Linked DNA regions of Drosophila melanogaster. The protein of the gene in region 3 interacts with the protein of the main gene of each other region in a pairwise test. Each region holds a gene or a part of one and is shown on either strand. Other genes may lie near its edges.

What was found.
Region 1: the proteins of robl22E (region 3) and CG4198 interact in a two-hybrid assay, tested with the Drosophila melanogaster proteins (one large-scale study listed by BioGRID).
Region 2: the proteins of robl22E (region 3) and Idgf4 interact in a two-hybrid assay, tested with the Drosophila melanogaster proteins (one large-scale study listed by BioGRID).

What each region holds. Positions count from the first base shown.
Region 1 is NC_004354.4:5,310,398-5,316,248, forward strand, and holds CG4198 (uncharacterized protein), read left to right. Parts: upstream 1-2,860; 5' UTR 2,861-3,035; coding exon 3,036-3,748; intron 3,749-3,814; coding exon 3,815-4,535; 3' UTR 4,536-4,793; downstream 4,794-5,851. Other genes in the region: snf (sans fille), read left to right, coding at 1-32; TrxT (thioredoxin T), read right to left, coding at 841-1,314; dhd (deadhead), read left to right, coding at 2,063-2,386; CG15930 (uncharacterized protein), read right to left, coding at 5,061-5,637, 5,704-5,789.
Region 2 is NC_004354.4:9,926,915-9,933,811, forward strand, and holds Idgf4 (imaginal disc growth factor 4), read right to left. Parts: upstream 4,035-6,897; 5' UTR 3,994-4,034; exon of another isoform or gene 3,967-3,993; intron 3,561-3,966; 5' UTR 3,559-3,560; coding exon 3,441-3,558; intron 2,819-3,440; coding exon 2,258-2,818; intron 2,144-2,257; coding exon 1,494-2,143; 3' UTR 1,059-1,493; downstream 1-1,058. UniProt on the Drosophila melanogaster protein: Cooperates with insulin-like peptides to stimulate the proliferation, polarization and motility of imaginal disk cells.
Region 3 is NT_033779.5:2,289,252-2,293,573, forward strand, and holds robl22E (robl22E), read right to left. Parts: upstream 1,488-4,322; 5' UTR 1,453-1,487; intron 1,448-1,452; exon of another isoform or gene 1,392-1,447; 5' UTR 1,372-1,391; coding exon 1,078-1,371; 3' UTR 973-1,077; downstream 1-972.

The DNA of each region.
Region 1 (5,851 bases), on a different chromosome or scaffold from region 3:
ACGCCATGAAGATAACGTTCGCCAAGAAGTGAACGCAACTCCAGTCGCCGGGCGTTCCAGCAACTCCAATAATAATTTAAACTATAGAATAAATCGATATAAACAAACAAACTACGAGTATTCCATATGCCCATATCCCTCCCATATCCCATTTCGCCCAAAGATCCTTAAAGGCAAAAGTATAGAATAGAATAGTTGATTGTTTATTGTGTAGATCTATTTGTTTGTCTGCAAACTTATAACTAACAGCTAGTAATGCGTATTATTTATGTCGGTCGATTGTACATATTTCCATTTAGTGTATAGTATATGGTGTATAGTAGTATATATATATATATATATAGCGTCCCTTTGCTCAGTCTGCATGGTGTATCAAGCTCGCTGCAAAATCAACATCAGTTTGGTGTGCGGGAGCGTGTGTTGAGTAAGTCCCACAAGTCCTCGGATTCCCAAAATGTTTGCTATATGTAGAATCGTTCAGCGACGTAGTCCTCCTCCGCCGTAACAACATCATCAGGCTTACAATTGTAATGCAATCATCATACTTTAGGCACCACAAATGATGAGTATTATGAGTGTGCATAATAAATCTGGGATAAGTGTGTGTATTATATATATATATATATATATATACATCGATAAGTGTGTGTGTGTGTGTGTGTGTGTGTCTATGTATATATATATATATATATCTATTGCTTTCTTCCGTTACGTCTGTTGAATGATGAGCTGCAGGAGAAGGAGCAGGGAATCGGTTATGTGACCACAATGCTTGCACTCCGGCAATCGTACTTACATACATATGTTGTCGTTATGTTCGGAGTGTAATGGTACTTTTGCCTAGTGCTCCAGAACGGCATTCTCGTCGTGGGCGGACACCTCATTAACGTTGTTGTTGTCGTTGTCGCTTTCACTGGACTCGGCGGTCAGATCGACAATGCATTCGCCATCGATATGGACGGCCTTAACGTCGGCCGCTTCATCGGTATAAACGCCGGCATGCTTCTCCATCAATTTGGCCAGCTTATCGGAATTGCAGCCAACGAAGAGCTCCAGCACATTGCCGCCCTTGATGAACACAAAAGTGGGCATGCTATTCACATTGTATTCGACCGTAATGTCCTCGTTCTCGTCCACGTTCACCTTGAGTACGACGACACGGTCCGAGTACTGCTGCGCCAGTTCGTCCAGCTTGGGTGCTATTATCTTGCAAGGTCCGCACCAGTCTGCATAAAAATCAATTACCACCAGCTTGTCCTCGGCGAGGATTAGCTGCTGGTCAAGATCGTCCTTGTTCCGCACTGGGTACACCATGACTTTAACTAAATTCCAAACGGATTGCAAATCGAAACGAAACAAAAAAAAAAAAAAATGGGAAGAGAAGAAAGAAAAAAAAAAGGAAAATGTTAGAAAATCTTGTTTTGGGTGTAAAATTCACTTGATTTGTTTTGTTACTTTTGAATTTTAATGGAGCTCTGCCCTCGCCGAGATATCAGCCCGAAATGAAAATTGTAGGGCGGCAGGCGTTCTTTTATACAGTTTTCGCCAAATATTTTGCGGCCTTCTTGGATTGAAAAAAAAGTGTTTTCAAATGTCAGCGGCGCGGTGTGTTGAGGTGAGTTTGGCTTCGAACCTACCACGGCTATGGCAACACTCGAGGAAAATATTAGTACTATGTCGTGTGACGCCATTATTTTGCCATAATTACGATAATAATATTCATATCGATATCGATAGACCTGCCGTGGTGAATAAGTATGTTCCCCACCCCCCAACACACTCGGTTGGCTTTCCCAACGACCTGGCAACCCTAACACGCCCGCCATTTTGCACTCTCCATGGGCCGCCATTTTGTTTAGCGGCCACGCGAGAATTCAGCATGCAAATTGGCGGGAATTCCACTCTACACACCGCCACTTGGAGACCCCTATAAAGTCGCCTACGCAGCCGCCATTTCAATCAGTTCACAATTTGCAGCGAAAGCGCCAACAGCCCCATCACGTCAAGTTCTTTAATTTAAAAAAAAGAAGAAAAACACTTTGCTAATCCTCGCGACATAAAAATGGCATCCGTACGCACCATGAACGACTATCACAAGCGCATCGAGGCGGCCGACGACAAGCTAATCGTGCTGGATTTCTATGCGACATGGTGTGGTCCCTGCAAGGAAATGGAGAGCACCGTCAAATCGCTGGCCAGAAAATACTCCAGCAAGGCGGTGGTGCTCAAGATCGATGTGGACAAATTCGAGGAGCTGACGGAGCGCTACAAGGTGCGCAGCATGCCAACGTTTGTCTTTTTGCGCCAAAATCGACGCTTGGCCTCCTTTGCCGGCGCCGACGAGCACAAGCTGACCAACATGATGGCCAAGCTGGTGAAGGCGTAAGCAGCAATCCTGCCCAGCAATTAGCAATCAGCAGCGCATCTTTTTTTTTTTACTTATTTAACTCATCTTTTAAACATGTTCGCCTCATTTGTGTTCGTTTATGTATTCGATGTTATGTGTATGCTCATGTGATGTTTAGCTTGTAAGCGCGAGATGTGGGTAGCAGGAGATGCAGTGCAGCCAACAGCAGTGACCAGATGATATATGCTATGCTACTACTACTACTTATATGCTATGATTTGTGGCGCGGAGGCGTGTCTGCGACACATAATCCCGCCCATTTAGCTTTAAGATTCAGGCACTAAGAAGCAATTCGATCAATAAATTATTGTAACCACTCTGGACATTTAAATGTTAACATGGAATCAGCTTTGTTTTTTTTTTGCCCACAGCATTTGGATTGTTAACCAAGTAGGCGCTGCGTGGTCATGTCATTTCGGGTTCCAGCAACATTTGGCATTTGCTAACCAAACTTGAGATCACACACACGAAAAACAAAAAATCCCAAACATTCCGCAGCACAAATTCAATCAAATCCAAAACGCACATTTCGGTCGCATCCAAATTGTACGGATTTCGTTAGTAAATAAAAATCAAATTTCGTGTAAATCCAATCCATAATCCGTGGTAGAGTAGAAACCACACCATCATGTCGTATCAGATCAAATCGACGCCCTACTTTCGTCGCATGTTCAACGAGAGCAAGAAGAATGGCCAACTGCAGCGTCTGCGTGATGAGTACGAGCGCATCCAGGAGTTCAACGATCGCACCATCGAAATGAAGATGCGACAGGTGCGATTAAAGCGGCTATTTCGCGAGATCGAGGTAATTAAGGTGGCTGGCGGGGCGGCCGGTGGCGCCAGCGGTGGCGGCACATCGACGGCATCATCGCCATCGAATGTTGACCAATCGTTTGGTTTAGCCGGCGGACGCGTTACCCGCCGGAGACGGCAACAGGCACACGGTGCTATCACGCTGGCTAGCAGCACGCCCCAGCAGCGGATGCACAAACAGCGCATAGAGACGCTGGCACGCGCACGCCAACTGGGCCAGGAGATCTCGCGTCGGAATGGCCTAATGGCCGAGGCCGGCACCGGCGGTTTCCTGCGCAGCGAACTCCGGATGACGGCCAAGCTGCAGGCGGCGAACGATGCACGCCGGGCGGCCGTGGAGCGTCGCGACTTGGCCGCCAAGCGCATCTCCTATGGCAACGATCAGTCGCGACAGAATATCCAACGCATGCTCATCCAACGCCAGCGCAGACATGAACAGCAGCAAGCGTTGGCGGCGACAGTAGCATCACCGGCGGCACCGTCATCCAATTCCTACCAGGTGTCCATAGCGCAGCAGCCGGTCACAAGGTATGTAAATCTTCTAGAGAATTGTGGGGTTATGTTCACCTTTGTTTGTTTTTTTGTTTTGGCCAGCAGGCCCAGGCATGAATACACGGACAATTGCCAACAACAGCAGGAACTGCTGGCGGTGACCAGTGAGCGATCGACGGAGCAGGGCGATCATTTGCAGATGGAATGCGAGGGGCAGTCGTACTCGGAGCAAAGCTTCCATTCGAACGACTGTCTGGCGCAATCGATGGACGAGGATCTGGATGGTGAGGAGGAGCTGGAATACACACGCCATCGGCGTGATGGCGACGCGGATGAGGAGCCGGAGCGGCAGTCCTGCCTGGTGACGCTGAACAAGGAAAGATCCACATTGGCAGCCACATCACCGCTGGATATGCGTCGAGTCAAAAGCTCCATTGATTCGTATCGAAAGACGCACCTATCTCCGCTGGCCAGCGGCAGCAATTGGGTTCGGGTTGTTGGTGGCGCCCAATCGTCCACCATTGGATCGCATCAGCCAAGTGGAACGGTGCCGCCGCCGCTAAACGATGAACTGCAGCTGGATTCGCAGTCCAATTCGAGTAGGTGGCATGAGGTCTCAATGATGCTGTCGTGGTTCGGCGCCGCTTCCGACATCCCAACCGACTATGCCGATGCTCCGCCACCCGAGGTGCCCAGTCACTACGATTGCGATTCCATTAGCAATGCGGACGATATGCCAACGCCAACTGTGTGCCGTCGACAGCGCATGTTCGCCGAGCAGCCGAGTGATGCTGCCACACAGGCGCAGGAGGAGCCCTTCTAGCCAGCCGACGAGCGGCAGACGCACTGCAGCACACATCTATTTTTTTTACTGCAATTCGGTATGGAAATCCAAACCATCCAACCAACCAACCAGGCAAGTCTGCAGCGCCTGCAAAGTTCACTTATTTGGCATGCTACGCTAGTTTTGGCTTAGAATTCCCGGCCCATCCTGTCCAGAAGTTGTGCACGTGCACTTGGCTGGCAACCTTTTCGCATCTTTATTTGGTAATAAAATTATGGGTATGGTATTACATTTCACAAATAATAATAAAAAAAAAAAAAGAAAAAAAAAAACAAACAGCAATTTCATGTTCAAGTTACACTTTTCAAATGATGCAGTTCATCCCTGAGATAAATGATTGGCAAACATGCCAGCTTGATGATTTATGTATGTTCCGTCGTCTGGTTTTGTCCTGTTTTCATCATTCCTGCTCCTGCTTCTGCTTCTGCTCCTGGTTGCCCACTAGAAGTGCGTCATTCATTTTTATTTTGAAATGGATTCAGCGCCTTGGGCACATGGTAATCCCTATGGAACGAATGCGAAATCATCATCATCATCATCATCATCATCATAATCGTGCAGCGGCATAATTAGCGGCTCGACCATCCCAAAAGGCTGCAGTTCGGGCGCATAGCAACAGGACTCCAACTTGATCCGCGACTCGATTAGATCGTTGATGGTGGGCACAAAAGTTTCATCATACGATAGCCGCATAGAGAATATACCCTGAGCGGTATCCAGTTCGCCGACATGGGCATACAATACCCTATTGAATGTCATGCGCTGGAATGCGGTGATACCATTTTTTGGCCACCCATTGGCCAATGGGCGTACGTGCGACATTTTGCCGCGAAATACCAATGGCGGTGTGCGCGCAAAGCTTAGTGGGAGGAATCGTAGATGGTTCGGTGCCAATGTGACAGACAGGGCATGATCCACATACTCTATGTTCACACATTGGGCGTCCAACGGTGCGGTGACGAGCACCATGGCACGTCGCCAGCCACACTCGCTGTAGGCGGCGCATATGTAGCCCTCTTTATAGAAATAGCTAGGCAACTCGGCACGGTAGCTGCTGATCGTCGTATGGCGATAGAACCAGCTATGGGCATTAAATAACAATATTATCAATCAATCAGTCAATCAATCGATTTAGTTAGTAGCTTACTTTAGATCAATGGTCATCTCGGCTACAGGATTCTTGGCGTACTGCGGTGGCACAATGTGGAACCAGAACTCACACGGAGAGAACACCTGCGCAAGAAAAAAAAACAAAAAAAAAAAGATTGAACTCCTATTTCAAAGCTGTCTCTTTG
Region 2 (6,897 bases), on a different chromosome or scaffold from region 3:
TTATCACTTATTCCTTTACTTTTCTCTCAGTGTTCACCGGTTTTCCGAAAATCCAATGCGCTTTTCAGCAACCGAGAACTAAATCAACGGCATCCCAGTGTTGGCTCGAATTCGGGGGGCGGGCTGCGGATAAGGATGGGGGAGTGGCACTTCCTGGTTGGGCCGGTGAGCAGACAGTGCGTATGCGTGATGCTCGGTCCTGGAGTCTGGGGCTCTAAAATATACTTTGCCTGCGCCGGGTTATGGTTTTTGCGGTTGCATTTTGCAATTTTGCAAATGATAAAGTGATCCAGGCGAAGGCAACATGGCAGCAACGCCCAACCACCCAACCACCCAAACACCCAGTCCATCCACCCATTTTTGGTGGGTGTCAGCGGCAATGGTTCAAGTGGTCACAGCATGACCACCGCCCAAAGATGAATGAGCCATTGGCCACAATGCAATGGAAACTGTTGCTACACGACTGCAGTTGAAGCCGTTGCTGTGTTCAGAAGGCAGTCGCTGGAGCAGGAGGGGATTTTTGCTCCGTTTCCGTTAGAGTGAGTGGGTGGTGCAGTGGGTGGTCCGAGGGCTTGATGGGTCGTGCAGAGCGGGCACAAACACCGCACATAAAACAATCAGCCGGCGACCACAGGCTGACACGAAATGCCGGAAGGAGCAGCAAAATGAAGTCACAGCAGCACAAGGAACCAGGCACAAAAGTCCGAATCATAAAAGGAGCCCCACACTAGGCTATTGAAAAGAGCTGGGACGAGGACAAGGACCACGAGAGGGGGAGCAGAAGGATACTTCTTTCACATGGACAGAGGCGGGGACAATGCGGCGGCACAATGCATACATGAGTGCGTTCATTTGCCGGCCTTCTAATCAGTTTATTTGCCGTCGGGGGAAAGTAATTGGAAGTTGTTGCACTCAATTACAGTTAATGTGCAATGAGCATCGGTTCACGCACAGCGAGTGCTCACTGTAATGCGATGCGAGTGCGAAAAGTGCACTAAAATCAACATAATTAATTGGCCGATAACAATTGGCATAAAAGGCACGGCAACACGATTGATGTCATATTAACATAATTTATTTGACGATAGTAAACTTTATAAAGGTTCATAATGGGTTAATAGCTTTATATAATGATGTTATGTAATTCAATTGAGTACAATTAGCATAAATAATTAGCTAAAGCGAGTGGCTTAAAGCAGATGTGGAAAAGTGTGGGAAACTCAAATTATAAACAAGAGGGAACACTAAAATCGAGTTCATCGACTATCAGATACCCGTTATTCGGCTGGCTGGTTATATAAATATATGTAAGCTACAAAAATTCAGAAACAAGTAAGAGACAAGTTTTTTTGGTGTCAATGTTATATTAATTTAATTTGCATTTCGCGTTTACACAGGTTTGCGTTGAGTCAATTACATATAAAAAAAACAGTGGGGCAAATAAAAACACGTTGTTCTTTCGTTCGGGAAAAGAATCAGAAGGATGAGGAGCTCTACAACTTGCTCTTAACCTGGCGCAGGATGGGGAACTTGTCGTGGCCAGTGCAGCCGCCGCGGAAGTCATCGAAGCTCAGATCGACAACAGCAATGCCGCCGAGACCCTCGCGCTTAACATACTCCGCCTTGATGGCCGCCGTATCGGGATCCTCGTAGCCCACCCAGACTCCGTTTTCACCGCTGTCGTCGGCGGAGCGGTAGGCATAGCTTCCAAAGCGCTTGGTCGGATCACCAACCTTTCGCAGCGGACCATCGGCGCCCTTCAGATGCTGATTGGCGGGATTTGGGAGCTTGGCGCACACCTCTGGCCAGCTAAGAAGTCCGGGTATCTGGGTCTGGGTTCCGGCAGGAGCCACACCATCAGCCTCGGCAACCGGTGGAAGTCCAGTCAGTCCCGAATCCTTGGTCAATTTCCAGGCACGTCCATAGGTGGCAATGCCCACGTTAATCTTAGCGGCCGGAGCACGGTTTCCGGTCCAGTATTTCACCTGGTAGTTGACATTGAACTCCGGATTGCGCTCGTTCAGCTCGTAGATCGGTGCCGGGAAGTCGGCCACCTCGTTGTTGCGCTCGGGGGTCTGGAAGTCGTAGGTGTGCAGGTTCACGTAGTCCAAGTTATTGATAATAGCGGGCACATCGAAGAACACTAAACCAGATAAACAAAAACATATTGAATATATAATAAATATGCTGGGCAATCTTTCGAACAAAACATACTAAATGAAATCTAATACAATCGAAATTATTTATGTTAACTCACGCGAAGAGTTCACATTGGGCAGGACACTGAGACCCAGGATGTAGCCATCGGGACGGAAGGCGTTCTTCAGTTCGCGAACCAGGGCGGTGAAGGCCTCCTTGTGCTCCTCGGCCTTCTCGTCGACGACATGATCACCGCTGAAGATCTTCTTGAATCCCTTCCAGAACTTGCCAATGCTGCCGTGCACCTTCTTTGGCTTATTCTTGGGGAACTGCCAGCCGAGATCGAGGCCATCGAAACCGTAGGTCTTCACCAGCGAGTGAGCACTGTTGATGAACGGAATCCTGGCATTGCTGCTCTCCAGCAGGGTCAGATACTTGTTGTTCTCTGGATCCACGGTGTCCTTGTCGCCACCCACGCTAAGCAGGACCTTGAGGGCTGGGTACTTGCGCTTCAATCCGGTCACCTGGCGGAACAGGCTGCTGCCCAGATCCAGGTCCAATTTCTCATTGTTGCTGACCAGCTTGTTGCTCGAGGGATTAATGCCGGCATATCCGTAGACCAGATGGGTGCAGTACTGCAGGGCGGGCTCCAGATCGGTTAGGATCAGCTTGGAGAGGCCTGTTGATGTTCATTTTAGAATAAGGAAATTGTGAAATATATTCATGAATGTAAAAGCTTATTATACTAATGCTTTGTTAACAGGAAGCGTTGAGTTAATCAATAAATTTGATTGTTGTCCCCGAAAAAGCATGTGTTTAATATTGCCAACACTTTATATTCAGTGAATCTTCCACTGGCAGCTGAAAATTCGAGTGTACTAAAATAAGCTCGGTTTGCATCATCAATTAGCGCCTTGGAGGTGGCACCTCTGGTCATGAATCATCATCGTCGAACACCCGATGCCAATTTCAATTAGTTCAAGTCTGGCGTTTTGTGTGGGCTTTCCTCTCTATATGCAATTTACTCAAATTGGTTGCAAAACATTCCCCTCTGATCTTGTGACCCGTTGCCAATTATCAGAATCGCAAAAAAGTACACCGCTTTATGCTTTTAGCATGTGTCTATGAAAAGTGAAAATCATCTAATTGAATTGAGTCCGCGCAGCTCTCTATCTCTTGGTTTCAAAATACACATATGTATATGTACATACGTACGGGTAATATATGTACATTTTCCTTCCACCGATAACCCCGATTCTTATCAACTATATAGCCAAGAACGAACTAGAAGTGGGACTTACCCTCGCGGACAAAACTGTTGCCGTCATAGTAACAAAGTAGATGATGAGATCCGGCGGCGGAAATCTGACCAATGGCCAAAGATCCCACCAGAAGGGAGAACAGGGCGTAGAGCTTCATAGCTGTGAATAGGAAAATATATGTATTTATATTGAAACTGTTAACTGTTGGAAAGTTCCAGAGTAAACCCACATTATGTGTGAGATTTTAAGATTTTAGGTTATTTTGTATGCCTGATTATTATGGAAAAATGACTTATTTTAACATTCTGTGATTCTGAATTCAAAAAACTAGGCACGTTATATTCTTAGAAGACTATTAATAGATAAGAATTATGAAGAAGAAGCTGAACCATATAAAATAAATACATCATTAGAGAATCAAACAAAATGGAATTCTAAGAAGCCCAAATCTCGGATTATTATACGTGTATATCAAAGAAGTTATAGTTCCAGTTCCTGGCCATAAAAACTATATAAATTATCACACGGCGCAAAGAACTCAGATCACAGAAAAAAAAAAACCAACGGAATATTAGAATGACTCTCCACTGACTTGTTGTGCTCGCATTAAAGGTAAAACTGAAACTGTTCGCCGGCGGAGGTGATCCAAACTTTAAGTGAACTCGTTGAGAATACGAAACCGGGCAAGACGAAGAGGGAAGAGCGAGAGACCGCTGAAGCTGCGGCGGCGGGAGCGAAGAAGAGCGAGGGCAAAGCGAACGCAGCGAGAATAAAACTCGGCTTGGAAATACATAAGATCGGAGCAAACAGAACAGAGGGGTATAGAGATGGAGATAGAGAACTTTGGCAAACAAAAACAAAAAAATTAGAAATGTGTGTGGAAAAACAAAAACAAGCGAAGCCAAGCTGCGAAACGAGGGGCGACTCATAAGTACGCATATTGATAAACGATAATGATCTGGATGATGGAAGAATATCAATTGATTTCGAGAGCTTTGAAAACTTTAATCATCGCAGAGCAAATAACCTTCACCAATTTGGGTTGAAATATTGTGTTCTTAGCTCTCCAGTTAATCACTTTTTACAGATTTGTCATTAATTGCATTTAAAGTGGTTGAGATTTTTTAGTGTGAGTAAAAAAAAAACGTAATAAGAAAAAACTTAAAATACAGTTTTAATGAAGTGATTAATATTCGAAGCTTACTCTAATGGATATAGCTATTAACTTCTTTATATATTTATCTATAAAGCCTAATCAGTCTCAATAAATTGTAAATATCTGCTAGGGATCAATGCCAAAGTGTAGATAGACTAATTAAATTAGTTGTAATACATTTGATTAGCCTTAAACTATACTTTATAGGCCGTTCGTTTGAATAGCTCGTTATCTCCGTTTGAAATCCGTAATTAAATCTAGCTTAGCCGCAAAAATTTCACCAGCGCCACAAAGCCTGGTTGATCTGCTCTCGTTTTTGATTTTCTCTATTAAGTGATTAAGTGTCTGTCATTGTTGTAATGAATTTTTGCTATCAGCTTTTTTTGTAATTCGGTTTTTTCTCTGCCAGAGCCTGTTTTAAGCGCCGCCCTCCCCCCTCCCCCCTACCACACCAACGTCGTGATGTCATCGTTACCGGGAATCGCTCGAGCAATTATACAATCAGGCCAACGCGTCGGGCATTATTAAGCTATATTCACTGTATGTGTGTGTGTGTGTGTGTGTAGGTAGATATATCCCCATTAAAGCGACAGCTGCTTTATTTGTTTATTTTTGAATTTTCGATGGAGGATAAGTTGCCGAAAAGCGAAATAAAATATCGTACAGCGCATATAAATCGCAAATTGACAAAGTAAACTCAACTTCCACGACTTCGCCGCCTGCTCTATTAATTTGTGTAAAAATTGATTTTAATAAATAAACACTGGCTGCATTGTCGCCTCCGTTTTCGTTTTCGTTTTCGTTTTCATTTTCGATTTTGATTTTGATTTCGATTTGAATGTTTTAGTTCGGCTCGGTTCTCAAATGTTTACTCATGGCATCGCCTCGCCAATCGGCCGACTTTATCAATTTATGTCAGCGGCCAGAGAGGTCAAACACACACAGATACAGATACAAGCACAGATACAGATACGTATACATTAGATGATGGACGGGCCCGATTTGGGTCCGTCTCTAGTCTCATATTTAGTTTTAATTTGCTACCCCATCTCCCGGCGTTTTATGTTCAAGGGATTTATTTGCTCGGGGGGATTTCGACTGCTTTTTGGGGCTTGGCATTTTGGGTTGGGCCTGCTAATGGGTTGAGTGGCTCACTGAATGTCAACGGCGATGGGATCGGTTTTATGGCATTGGTGGTTACTCAACGACTTTGCTTTTTATTTTTCCGCATCGCTTTTACACCCATCAAGGGCACTTCAGTTCACGATTGGGATCCGATCCCCGGGGAATGTTTCATCTGATATATTTAATTTACTCAATTTACATTGCTGGCCCGAGAGTATGCTGCATTTTTGCATCGGAATTTGTCAGAAAATATGAAATCGAAAAGCATTTAGTTTAACGAATGCAATGCTCGAATAGTGCATACCCTTTTCCTGGCCACATCCAGGACCAACAATTTGCACATTTTATTTTACCCTTGAAATAAATCGTTTCGCTTTAATTGCCAAAAATTGCATTTAATGCCGAACAGTTCGTTGTGCTATTGCACATTTAAATGTTCTAGCAAAAAGCAAGACAATGCGTAAATAAACCAATTAATTGTCCGAACTGCGGCATTGTGTACTTATCCTTAGGCAGCGGGTATGTAAAAACCAGGACATATATAGAAACCAATTTATTTGCCACGCAAATTCGCAAACAAAGTGCAGAGGTGTGTGTGTGTGTGCGTGCGAATATCCCAGTATTTGGTGCACATATTTGAAATTGTAATTAAACCCACCTTAATCAAGTGCTCCATGGCCATGGAGGGGCGAGGGGCGAGGGGCAGGCCAGGTCAAACAAACAATAATTAAGTAACAAAAATACTGCCTTCTGCAAATACCGCAAATAAAAAAGAGGCGACAATGAGCAATGATTTAACAATAAAATGCAATAAAAACCTGCAGTTGTGGACGATTCGATGAATTTTATTTATTTTTGTTATTAAACGTGTAATCAGTGAGAAGTAAACAATTAAAAATGTTGATTTCACGCGCTCGCAATTCGAGTTTTATTTTTATTTCACACCTTCTCACTCTCACGTTTTGCACTTTTGCGGAAAATTCTGTCTGTGCTTGTGGGTGTGTGTAATTTAAACCAATTAAACACTCACCAAATAAACAAGCATCAACCAATTCCCCCCACAGTTGCGCCACCCCAACCCGATTTTCCAACCCGATTTTTCCATGTAAGTATGATTTACAAAATGGCTGCGAGCCGCAGAAATAAAGCCAACTGAAATGGCGAAAAAAAATGCGCCATAAATAAATTTAATACACAAATAAAAGGAGTGAAAAC
Region 3 (4,322 bases):
TTTCGGGATGGACGTGTGCAGCCAACAATCTATGTTATGTTTGCTGTTAAGTGACACACATGCTTTCGGGAAAATGGAAAACAATGATTGGAAGACACAGAAATATGATTACGCCGGACATGCTGACAGGTGAAAGACGACTGGCTTGATTCGGATTTAATTTACAATTGTCAAAAGGAAATTTTATAAAGAAAACATGATCCTAGGATCCAATCCAAGGTAATACAACTATAAATAAGAACAGGTTTATAAAAAAAATCAATTAACATCTCTAACAGTAAGGAAACAGGAAAAGCAGCTGCAGAAAATAGCTACATCGATGTAGATCATGGTAAAGTGCATTTAGTCATTAGGCTAATGAAGTTAAGGCTCTAGGATCGAGGTGAAAAATAACTTATCCACTTTTCTGCCCCCCTTTTGCGGTGTCTCGAATTGATGGCTGCGACAGTAGTGCTCTATATCCTGCCACAACTGTTCATGAAGTTATCTCGAGTGAATAGTTTCGTCCTGCACCGGTGGATAGATGGATTGGCATCGATGTCCTGGCCTCCCGAGAGGCGCCCGTGTGACTTTACCAAGTTATCTGCTTGGTTTTTGCCTCGCCCACTGCTCATAATGCACTTTGCATGTAAAATATTTAATTAAATGAAAAATAGCAAAGCCCAGAGGAGGAACCTCCACTTCGGTGGCCGTGGCATCCGTATCCCTACATGCTCGCATCCTGGCGAGGCCGCAAAAAAGTTTATTTGTTTCGTGGCTGCCTCAGTCAGTCTTCATTTATTGTAAATGAGTTTGCCCGGACAGGATGCCGGGTTTCGTGGGGTAAAGGATCCATGCATATCGTATATGTATGCATGCGGGCCAAAGGATGCATATCGAATAAGAGTGCTCCGCACGCAAGTGACATTCCAATTCAATTGCGATTCCCAATGCAAATAATTTGCAACTGAATGCTATTAATGACGAAATGCTGGTGTGCGAAATCGAGACTATGCCGAGTATTTTAATAACATTTACTGAACACTCTGCCTGAAAATAATTGCCAGCGGAATGAGCTTGGGCCTGGAATATTGTGCTCTAGTCGCACGGGCTCTGGATCACCATGATGAAGTAATCTTCCTGCGGGCACAGCATCACCTCATTCTGCTCAGTCCGCAGCCGCAGGAAGGTGAATTCGTTGGTGGCGTCCAGATCCAGGACCACCTGGCGAGCCTTCTCCCGCACCGTTTGCATCAGTGCCGCGTAGTGGAGTGTCAGAGTGTAGTCCAGGGTCGTTTTGATCGGAATGCCGTCGTTGTCCACCACAACTATGCCGGTGACGTTCTTCATGGACTGAAAGCGCTTCAATAGTTCCTCCACTTCGGCGGACATCCTTGCGTCTATTCGATTACCTTATTAGAGAAATTTCGATGCAAAGAAGGTGTTCGTTCTGCTACTACAATACAACCATACATGCAAATGAATGAAAGCTCCGGGCATACTTGAAGTAACTCACTCACTTCACTAAATATATTTTCAAATTTAATCAGACTACTCGTTAGCATAGTTCACAATAGTTTAATACTAAGAAATATTCCCCATATTACAACTAACTTTGCATATTTCCATTTGATATCCGTATAATTGAGGCTGCTTTGTCATCTGTCGGGTTCATTTCATTTGCCAGTTTAACGAGTCGATACAAGTTTTATGATGTTCGGCATAATCCGGGAGATTCTGGCGCTGTTGTGTCCGTAAATAAGCATTCAAGTTGGCAACAATGCCGGATGTCGGACTGCAAAAGTTTCGCTTTTGTGGATGGCAGAAGTACGGAAAATTAATTGAATGCTGTTGATGCTGCCAGTGCCCCTGCCTTGGCTCCTGATCCGGATTCCGATTCCGATTCTGTTCCTGTTCTGGCTCCTGCTCTCCGGACCACTCGAAATGCAGATGCAGATGAAATGTTTGCATCAAGTTCGAGGCGGTGCGGAAATTATGCCACTCTTCCGGTTCGTCCAGACTACGCCAGACAAAAGCCGGACTACTGAGGACTACGGAATGCAATGCGGACTCCGGCCGGAGTTGTTATGAAAAAGAGTGCAAAATTGTTCACTTTTTAAATTAATTAAAAGTCTTAAAACTCATAATGAAATTACTCAAACGGGCAGAGGGCAGGCGGACATACAGATACGTAAAAGGATTTGGCCAGTGTATATGCAAATTGCTGGCCAGACTTGGGGGAAATTAAACTTCTTATTCGACTTTTGGCCGGCAAGGAAATTCATTTGGTAATTAAATCAATGTCCATGTGAAAAACCTCAAATGCAATTTGTCATGCAATGCCGGAGAATTGAAAATGCGGAAAATGCGCTTCTAACTGCGTTAAATGGGGCTGGAAATGGGCGGGAAAATGTGAAGACCGACTATGCATTTTATTGCATATTTGTTGAATAAATAGTTAGTTTTGCACGGTGGGCGAACATAAAAAAAAGCAACACAAATATCCCAACTCCAATCCAACAGGACTCGGAGTCACAGCCAGAACCAGAGTCCTTGATCCTGTTTGGCTGTTGACTCTCGCTCACCAAACTAAAGCTGAAACATTTACAAATGTTTTTGCAATCTGCAATATGCAACCAGCAAACACACTCGCTTTTCAGTGGCTACAAAGTCAGGTGGAACACAAAAACATGTTTTTGGCGGACAAAGCAATTTGGCCAGTCTGTTGGCGATTGGTGTATTTGTTTAATGGGAAAATATGCTGCAATGTACGTAATTTGATATTTATGAAAACAAGTTTGTCCTTCGCATTTAATAATAATTCGAGTGCGTTATTTATGCATACAATTCGGTCCGACATAAATCACATTAAATTTTCCCGGCCCTTCCGACACTCGGCTTTAAAATGTTGCCAAAGAAATACTTTGGCACTGACATTCGAGCGATTTAAGTGTGCGCGCAAATACATTTTATTTCGATGATATTTGACTCGTTTAATGAATCCGTAATTAATTGCCAATTAATTCATTTTTTTTTTTATCAGTTTATCATTCATCTGGCACTTCCTCCGCTTTGTCACCTCTCACATCCTGCATTCGTTGCATTTGCATAAGGCCGTTTAATAAATCATAATTTGTTAATCAACGAATCGTTGGCCGTATTTGGACACTCTTGCAAATATTTCAACAATGCCGCAAGGTGATAATGAGATCAACAGAACAGGACCAACATGCCAACCGATCCAGAGGCCTTCGATTTCAAGTGGCAAATTCGAGTAAGTGAATTACGAGCCAGGACAAGTTAATGAGAATCGTATTTCATTTGCAATTAGCAAGGAGCACACGCAGCCATTACATTACATTGTCCTGGCCTCCGGTATCCTGCTCTCTATGCAGGATAATCTCGTCCTGGCCAAATTTAAATTATGATTGAGCAATGTGGCTGTGGCTGCGCACGTGTCAGCTTTGTTCTTAATTGAATTTTAATTAATTGCCGTGTGTGACGGCGGAAAGGGCTCGACTGCAAAGCCGCTTTAAAGGGCACAATAATCATGTCTGCTGGTGGAAGAAATCGCTAAATTAACCCTTGTTGAATAAAAATTAATATTCGTGATAGAGCCATGGGGCTTTGTGATTGTAAATAAATTATTGTATATTTCTGCACCCCAGTATTCATCTTGTATACCAATTTAGCCAACTTTAAAACATCATTTGACTAATTTTGTGACTAATTTCGATGGTATGATAGTCCGCCAAACTCCCTGTATGTCTCGGTACCCAAATATAGCCTCAATCGCACCTAAAGTGCCAGAAGGAAAGGAACTCGGCACAAATCCACCAAAATCGCTGCCTGCCCCCGACTGCAATGCAATCTCAATTTGGGGCAACTTGAGGTCCTTGAACAAAGCACTTCGATACCGAGGATCTGGTTAAGTGTGACACTTTTTCATTTGACGCTCGCTTGCGTTCGCAAAGTCATAAGCAAAATTCCCGGGGGTTACAATTTTAAATTAAATATTACAGCGTGGGCCTGCAGAAAGGAGCCTCTGGGCAGGATAAATGCTCAAACAGGATACCCCGCTGCGTTCGAGGACCTCAGTGCCTGCGTGTCTGCCTGTCTGTCTGTCTGTGTGTCTGTGTGCGTGGGGCGTGAATGTGTTTGTCTGCACCTGACGCCTTTTTGTTGGGCCTTTTGGTATTTCATTACAATCCTCTGGCTGTGGACTTATTTCTGGATGAGCGTGCTCTTGCCTTTTGAACCTACCTCATCGTGATAAATGATACGAATGTTTGGCAAGGGAAGTCATATTATTATAACTTTAATCCAGTATCATCGTCTGATGT